Oryctolagus cuniculus: one gene and its partner. The protein of the gene in region 2 purifies or fractionates together with the protein of the main gene of each other region. This does not show direct contact. Links are inferred from orthologs where the notes say so. Each region holds a gene or a part of one and is shown on either strand. Other genes may lie near its edges.

What was found.
Region 1: the proteins of KCNJ4 (region 2) and DLG4 purify together in Homo sapiens (affinity purification with western blotting, with the first as the bait; 3 studies listed by BioGRID). This does not show direct contact. The link is inferred for Oryctolagus cuniculus from reciprocal best matches to the Homo sapiens genes KCNJ4 and DLG4.

What each region holds. Positions count from the first base shown.
Region 1 is NC_091448.1:51,818,057-51,821,850, reverse strand, and holds part of DLG4 (disks large homolog 4), read left to right. Parts: intron 1-31; exon of another isoform or gene 32-40; coding exon of another isoform or gene 41-55; intron 56-2,065; exon of another isoform or gene 2,066-2,087; coding exon of another isoform or gene 2,088-2,090; intron 2,091-2,682; coding exon 2,683-2,847; intron 2,848-3,794. UniProt on the Homo sapiens protein: Postsynaptic scaffolding protein that plays a critical role in synaptogenesis and synaptic plasticity by providing a platform for the postsynaptic clustering of crucial synaptic proteins.
Region 2 is NC_091442.1:115,108,304-115,112,663, reverse strand, and holds the start of KCNJ4 (inward rectifier potassium channel 4), read left to right. Parts: upstream 1-1,319; 5' UTR 1,320-2,255; intron 2,256-4,360. UniProt on the Homo sapiens protein: Inward rectifier potassium channels are characterized by a greater tendency to allow potassium to flow into the cell rather than out of it.

The DNA of each region.
Region 1 (3,794 bases), on a different chromosome or scaffold from region 2:
CCTCCCCTTCTCCATGTCGGCTCGGAACAGATTCGCCTCCATGTGTCTCTGCGTGGTACGTGCCGCGGTACGGCTCCGGGCCCGCTCCCCTCCTTCCGGACCCCCCAAATCTCAGGGTGCAAGCTTCAAGTGCTGTCGCTCTTCCCTCGGCTTGGCGTGGGGTCTCTGGGTTGCAACTTCTCGGGGAAAGGCGCAGGGGATCGCCCCTCTTACCCACTTGGACTCACACCCCTCTGTTTTGGGGGTGCCAGCTTCGGTTCCAGGTCATTCTGTGCACCTGGGGCTCTGGTGAAGAGGGGGCCAAAGGGGAAGGCGCAGTGACCCTTTTACATGTCCTAAGCCCCAGTATACCGGGAGTTCAGACTCGTCCTAATTGCAGGGAGCTGTCATGGGGGGAAGGGGGGGTCCTCTTCCTGTCCTGCTGTAGCTGCGGGGGAAATCTGGGACTGAGAGGTGCCAACGCCCCTCCCATCCCCTGGCTGCAGTTTCAGCATTACTCCCCCTCCCCCTGCCCCTCCAGGCTGTTTTTGCTTCTTTTCTCACTCCACGTACATCGAAAATTCCCAGGGATTGAACATAGGGCCTCCCCTCTTGCACCCACATCCTGGAAACTTGAATGCACCATTTCTTGCTCCCCTTTCCCCTCCTGTTGTCTCTCAACCCCAAGGAGCCTTCCCCTCCGTGCCAGACACCCCCACCCCTGTGGGCTGGGGCAGGAAGAGGTGTCTGGGGCTTCAACGTGATCAAAGTTTACCTCTCTCTCTCCGCTCTAGAATACACGGTGAAACATCTTTCTTAACACTTCATTTCCTTGGGTGCACATCATGCTCCTTCATCAGACTCAGGAATGTTCTCTGCCGGGTTGGATGAAGCTGGAGGGGCACTGGGCTCCAACCCTCACCCAGACCCCAGAGCTGGGAGCTGCACCTTGTGGTCCTGTCTCACGTCCTTCCCAGGCAGGGCACCAAGGCCTTGTGGAGTGACAGAGGGGAGCTGCCTCCCCTCCTTCCCACTGGATCCCTAATTCCCTCGTGCACAGTCCTGGCTGAAGACCACCTTTTCAGGAATAACCTCTTCCAGTTCCCAGAACTCTGTTGTCCATGACCCCTCAAGGGTCGAGGGTTGTTGTGCCGTCCTCTCCCTACTTTCCATCTCCCTTTTTTTTTTTTTTTTTTGTCTGTGGTATTGAACCCTGGAGTCCAGGACTCTCAAGTCCATGGTCCAGAGGGCAGCCTGTCTCCCTTCGGCAGTCACCTTCCAGAACGTCAGGGTGTGTCCTGGGGGGTCAGGTCTCCATGCTGACACTGTTTCCCTCCTCAGTCTCCTGCCACACCCTGGTCTACAGTCGAAGTTGGGTGGCATCCTCAGCTTTGATTCATCCCTGGTATCAGGCGTTGTCCTTGATCTTGAAACTGTTGCCCTCCAAAAGTTGGGGTTCTCTCAGCTTCTCAGGCACTTTGGGGAGGGAAGCCCTGCCTTCTGTCTTTGCCCATGTGCACTAGGGCGTATGTTCTGTGTTCGCCAGTGCCCAGGGGAGCCTTGCACTCGGCATCTTCCATCTCTCCTGACCCTGGAGCTGGGGAGGGTCTGCTTCTGTACAGACAGCCCCGGAGGGGAGGAGCAGAGCAAGGTGTGGAAGCACCCAGGCAGAGCTGCTGCCCGTCACTGCTGTCCATCTGCCCTCCTCCTCTCTCCCCTGCGCCCAGTTAATCTCATTTACTGGTGTCCCTATTAAACCCAGCGGGAGGCCCTTGAAATGGCAGCTGGTTAATTGGACAAAGTTACAGATCTTTCTGGGTCTTTCACCCTGAAAGGCCAGAGGGAGACCAGGAGTTCACTCTTGAGCCCCCAAAGACTTCCCTCTTCCTCAGTCCGGCGCCCTGGCACCACTGCTGCCCCCCTCAAGAGCCCTACTGCCTCCCCATCCTCCTGCGCCCCATCTCCTCCTGGTACATCCGGATTAGCTGTGGGCTGTTGTTGGGGAGGGGCTACACTGCTCTGCCCCTCTGCTGACTACCTGGGAATCTTCAGGGCCAGGGAAGAAAGGGCTGGGCGGGCTTAGCCGTGTCGTGTCTTGGGGGGAGCTGATGGCAAGTATCTTTGGGGTGAAGGGCCCCAGCTTGGCCCCTGCCTGGGGCATGCAAGGTGCTGGAGAGCCAATCGCTGCTGGGGTAGAGGCTGCAGTGGGGACACGGTGGCGAGGAGGGTAGGGCTGGGGGGGCCTGGGAAGCAGGAGCAGCAAGTGAGCCATAGGAAGGGAAGGGGAGAACATGGTGGGTGGGCTTAAGGTGAGGAGGGAAGCAAAGAAGTTGGATGGATGTCAAGAGTGGGGGTGCAGGTGCCAGGGGCTGGAAGGCCTGGGAAGGGGGTGCACAGAGATGTCAAGGGAGGGGACATGGTGAGAGGCCAGGGTCCCAGGGTCTGCCGGATTCCGAGTTGGAGGATGGGGCGGCGACTTGGGGAGAGAGGGCAGGTACTGAGGCCCTGGCGCGAGAGGGGGCTGTCGGGAGGGTGGAGAGAGGGGAGCCAATGGGCTGGAGGGGAGGGAGGGGGAGGAGCTGGTCAGGCCCCGGGGCCTTCCGCACTGCACAGGCAGGGGGGGAAGAGGAGGCGGCCAGGCGGCCTGGAGCCCGAGGCACTGGACCGGACCGTCCCCAGTGACGCCTCCATCCCCATCCCCAGAAATACCGCTACCAAGATGAAGACACGCCCCCTCTGGAGCACAGCCCGGCCCACCTCCCCAACCAGGTAAACGCCCCCGAGCTGGTGCACGTGGCGGAGAGGAACTTGTCCCACCTCGAGGCCGTCCACGGGGTCGTGGGCCACGCCCACCTCTCCCCCCTCAAGGTAGGAGACCCTGGCGGCCCCCTCCCCAGTGCGGCCCTCGGAGCCTCGGAGCTGCAGCAACCCCCCAGGGCCGGTAGGGCAAGAGATGGGGGGGCGGGGGCGGGTCTGGGCTTGGGCTCCTGGGGCCTGGGGGAGGGGGCGTTCGGGGCGGGGTGGGGGCTGGACACACTGGTCCCAGCGAGAACAGGCCAGGCCAGCCGGAGTGGGTGCGGATCCTAAGCTGGAAAGTACGTGCGTGTGTCTGCGCGCGTGCTGTGCTGCGCGGGTGTTGAACTGCCTGCGTTCTCCCCAGAGGCCCCCCACGCCAGGACCCTCTTCGTTCCTTCACACCCCCAACCTCCGCTTCCGTTTTCTGTGTCCAGAGCTCTGTTCCAAGCGCCTGCTGCCCTCATTTGCTCCGGTCCCTTGGCCGCCTCCTCCCCCCACCTCCGCCTCAGGGCCTGGCTCTCCCTGTGCCCGAGTCCGCAGCCCTTTCCATCTGTCTGGCCTGAGACTTCTTCCCGTGGTGCAGCCTTCGGGCCTGGTTCCCTGCCCCAGCCTCTGCTCCCCTCTCGTGCTGCCTCCCCCTCCCGCCCTTCCCTCCCCGCTGGCTGGCTGGCTGGCTGGTTCTGGATGCTGTCTCTCTCTTCCTCCCACGCATTCTCCCTCTGCCTCTCCCTGTTCCCAGCTCAGGCCTCTGCGGCCCCTCAGTCCTCTCCCCTTCCTCCCTTCCCTCCTCCCTGCCCTCTCTCTCTGGGGTTCTCGCCTCACCTCCACCCATTGCTGCTTTCTGCCCTGCTCTGCCCCTCCCCCCTATTATTATTCACCACCGCCACCTGTTCCGTCTCCTCCTCTGCTCTCCAGGTGCTTTCCTGGGTCTCTGAGGACTTCCGCTCTCCACTCGGCTTTCCAGCTTCCTTCTCCAGTCTCCTCTGCCGGGGACATGGGTTGGGGAGGAGGGCGTGAGC
Region 2 (4,360 bases):
CTCCTCCACAGGTCATCTGCCTCGGCGCATCGGCCTGCCCGCAAACCACGGGAAGGTGTGCTAGGAGCGCACGTCAGGTTGCTGGAGCCCCCCTCCCATCTGCTCACCCAGGAGCAGCATGATGTGGCAGCATCAGGCCCCCCTGGTGTCTGCCTGTGACAGGCGCGGGACCAGAGGAGCCCTGTGGACGCCTGCGCGGAGAAGGGACAGCACGTTTGCTAAGCACTTACTATGAGCTGCACATTAACCTGCCTCTGCAGGAGGGGGAGGGGAGGGCCCCCATTTTGCAGACAGGTCCAGTCAAGTCTCTCTCAAGGTCACGCAGAGGTCCTTTGGAGCCCAGGCTGGCCTGTCTGCTAAGCTCACCAAGCCAGAGCCATGCCCATGCCCAGCCTGGGGCCTGGCACGCAGTGAATGACCTCTCTGAGGGCATCGGGAGGGCCTCTCTGGGAAGGGGCACGGGGCTGGGCTTGGAGAAGAGCAGGGGTTCTCAGGGGAAGGCGGTGGGGGTCCCTGCGCGTGTGGGCCCCTGGCTCTGGGAGCTGTGGGGACCAGGGTGTCCGTGTGGGCATGCAGCCGGCAGGGCTTGGGGCTGGGTCCTCTGGGGTGGGGGAAGGGAAAGGTCACGACCCTGGTGCTCCGTGTGACCTGTGCTGGACTCCCCCCTGGGCTTCAGCTTGGAGTAGAAGCCAGACTGCATTTCAGAGCCAGCCAGCTCTCCGCTAGCCACCCCAGTCTCCCTGTCTGCTCTGGGGCGCCAGGGCGGCTCTCCTGGCTGTCTACCCCCAGGGGTCCTCTCTCTGCCACCCTGGGGGGAGCAGGACTCTGGCCCGGCTCCTGAAAGGAGCGGCTGGAGGGTCCCCGGAGTGCCTGGGGAGCCGGACCGGCTCGCTGGCAGTGGGGCCGGGTGGCAGGGTGTGGACCCTCCTTTACGAAGACCGCTGAGTAAGACGGGTTTGGGGGGACCGCAGACGACACGGGCCTGGCGTTTGGCCACGTCTGGGTGACCTTGGGAGCTCTGACCCGCTGGTTGTCACTCTCCCGGCCCTGGCGCTGCCGAGACGGTGGTGAGGGTCCCTCCAGGAGGGCTGCCCGACCTCCCAGAGGAGGTGCGCAGGGCTCCTCACTGTCCGGTCTTTGGGACGGAACGGGGAGCGCCAAGAGGAGGGGGCCGGGCCCACGGGACTCCAGACTGGCCGGCTCCCACCCACCCGCTCCAGGCTCGGAGGAACCCTCCCCACCTGCCCCTGGGGGGGCTACAAAACCCGGGAGCGGATTCTCGGAGCGGCTTCTGGGAGGAGCGCTCCCGGGGCGAGGAGGAAAACCCGCGCAGGATCTCGGGCAGGAGCGGGGCACGCAGCCCCCCAGCCCCTGCCCCCGGCCGGCGCCGCAGGCCCCGCGGGAGCGGGTTGCATGCCCGCGTAGACTGAGCGAGCCGGGCCGGGTCGGGCCCCGCGGGCCGCCGGGGCTCCGGGCCGGGCGCGTGGCCTCCGCAGCGGGGCGCGGGTCACGTGTGAGGAGGGGCGAAAGTCTCGCAAAGCGGGCGGCAGGCGGCGAGTTGGGAGTTCTCGGCGCGCCGCGGGCCGGGAGCTCGGGCTCCAGGAGAGCCGGGGACGCGGCGGCGGAGCGGGGCGGGGGAGAGCGCCGGGCGCGGGGCGCGGAGGGGACGCTGGAGACGCGCGGGGGAGACAGGCGCGGCAGAGGCGGGGGCGCGGGGGAGACGGAGACCCGGACCTCGCGGGCAGAGCGCGGGAGGCGGGCGGCGCCGCGAGAGGGCAGAGACCCCCGCGCAGCCGGAGCGAAGCCGGGAGCAGCAGCGGCAGGGGGCGGCCGAGCCCGCGGCGGGAGCGGGAGGGTGACCCCAGGCCGGCGGCGGAGCGGGCAGCGCGCGCCAGCGGGACCCGGTGACCGACAGAGCTCTCGGCGGGGGCGGCCGAGGCGCGGCGGCGGGGCCGGGCGCCCCCGGAGCCCCGCGCTTTGAGCCCGCACCCGGGGCCGGATGATGCTGACGCCCCGGCTGCGCCGAGGGCGCGGCGCGGGGCAGCGCTGAAAGTTGGGTGGCCCGCGGGGAGCGGCGCAGGACGGCGCGGAGGTCCCGAGACCCACGCACGGACCGACCGCAGCCGGGGAGGGCGCGGGCCGGTCGGCCGCGTCCGCGGGGAGCCGCGCCGGGACTCCCCGCTGCCCGCGCGGACGCCGTGGGATGTAGCGCCCGCTCACCGCCGCCCGGACACCGTCGGACCCTCAACCCCGGGGTAAGCCGGGCGCGCGCCCTCCGCGGCCGCTGTCCGTCCGTCTGTCCTGCCGCGTGCGTGTCTGTCTGTCCCAGCCCGGCCGCTCTGGCCCCCACGGCTCTTCAACTTGTCCCTGACCTGGGTCCCGGCGCGCGTTTGGCGCGGTCCCGTGACTTCCCAGGAGCTAGCGGGCTGTCCGCGTGTCCGTCGAGAGCGTGGCGGTCTGGGTGGCGGCTGGGGAGGTGACTGGAGGAGACCCTGACCTCCTGGCCGGCCAGTGACCCTTTCCCGCCTCCGCCCACCCCCACCTCCCCAACCCCCACTGTCAGACCCAGAGCTTCAAGGCAGGTGACTGGGGCAAGGGGGTGGAGGTGGGGGTGTCTCCTTCCCACCTCCCCCCACCTGGCACGTTTGAGCACCTGCTGTGTGCCGGGCCACTCCAGGGCAGACGGGCAGGGACCCACAGTTCACAGGGTGGGAACCGAGGCTGGGCAGAGGGAGAAGTGGTGCTTCCGTCACGCAGGCAAGAGAGGTGTGAGACTCCCCCCACCTGCAGAACGGGCCCCCACCCACACTCCTGTGCCCTGCCCAGGCTGCAGGGCCCGGCGCCCAGGTTCAGTTCACCATGGAGGGCTTCCGGAGCAGTGGGTTGGCAGCAGCAGGTGGGGGGAACCCAGAGGGGCTGCAGCCGTTCGTGTGTGTGTGTGTGTGTGTGTGACATCCCCTCCTCCACACATACAGTCCGGTGCCCTCCAGGGCTCTAGGGTTTGGGGGCCTGAGGGGCCCCGGAGTCACATGGTGGCCCTGCCTGGCCTGCGCTGGCTGGAACAAATGGAAGAGGGGTGCGAGGGGCCCGAGCAGAGGCTGTCAGCCTGCCTGGGTGGATCCACATCCACGCTGGAGCCGGGAGGGCTGAGTCTGGAACATTCGACTCTGTTCCAAGGTGTGGGGGGGCCCTCTGTGGGGTTGTCTACACTGGGCAGAGAGCCTCATATACCCTGCATTCGGGTTCCTGAAGTGAGCTCAGCTGCTGAGATGGAGTGCCCTGGGCGAGCCACTTCCCTCCCTGACTCTCAACTTCCAAATCTGTGGAATGGGGTCATTGCTCCGCGCCCCACTGCCCTCCACTGGGGGGCGCTGGGCTGGGGAGTGGCTGGGCGGGTGGGAGTAAGGATTTTTTTCCTTTAGGGGCCGAGCAGCTCGTGGCCAGGGGCAGGGTGAAGGGACACTGCCCTAGGACAGGAGTGTCCAGGAATCAGAGGGACCTGTGGCTTGGGAGCCGTACCTCGTGGACCCTTGGGTTCCCCTTGAAAAGGGTCCTCTCCCGAGAAGGTGGAGCTGTCCGAGGTGACTCAGAGCTGGGTTAGGGTTTCTGCTGGCTGTCCTTGGGCAGCTGGCTTGACCTCTCTGAGCCTGGGGAACTGGACCTGGACGGACTTCGAGCTGCGCGCACGAGGCCGCAGGCTGGCAGCATCTTCGCGGATGTGTGCGGGAACTCTGGGCGAAGCAGCCCTGGGAGATGCTGCGAAAAGATTTCTGTGCTTTAGGCTAAGCGGGAGGGGGCAGGAGCCGTGTGGGCTCACAGGGCGGCTGCTTCTTAATGTGGATCTGGGGGAGGCGGGGGCGAGTGCCAAGGGGGGTGTGAGGAGGAGGGGCCCCTCTGCGGGGACTACTGAGTCACGAGGACAGGGACGCGACATGACAACCAGCAACATGGTAACCAGGAAACTAGCGGCGGTGGGAAACGGAGCCGGAGCGCGTGTTGGGGGGTGCGGGTGCGGGGCAGCGCTGGCTGGAGGGTCCCTGCAGCAGCCCGCCGGCTTCCCCCAGACAGGAAGGGAGGCCCGGAGACCCGGTGGGCCGGGGAGGAGCTGGGGGCCCGAGTGGAGGGAGGGGTCCGCAGGGCAGGGGGCTTCTCCTGCCTCCCAGGCTCCTCTTCTCCTCCACATCTCCGCTTTTCATGCCTCTCCCCCCCAGGATGCCAAATTTGGCTCACGCAATCTGTCGTCTCTCTTCTGAGATTGGCACCGGGACGAACGCCGAGCGCATTACATCACCGCTGCTCCCCTGCACGAGGGAGCGGGAGGCGAAGGGCCGGGGCCGGGGCCGGCGGCCAGCCCCCAACT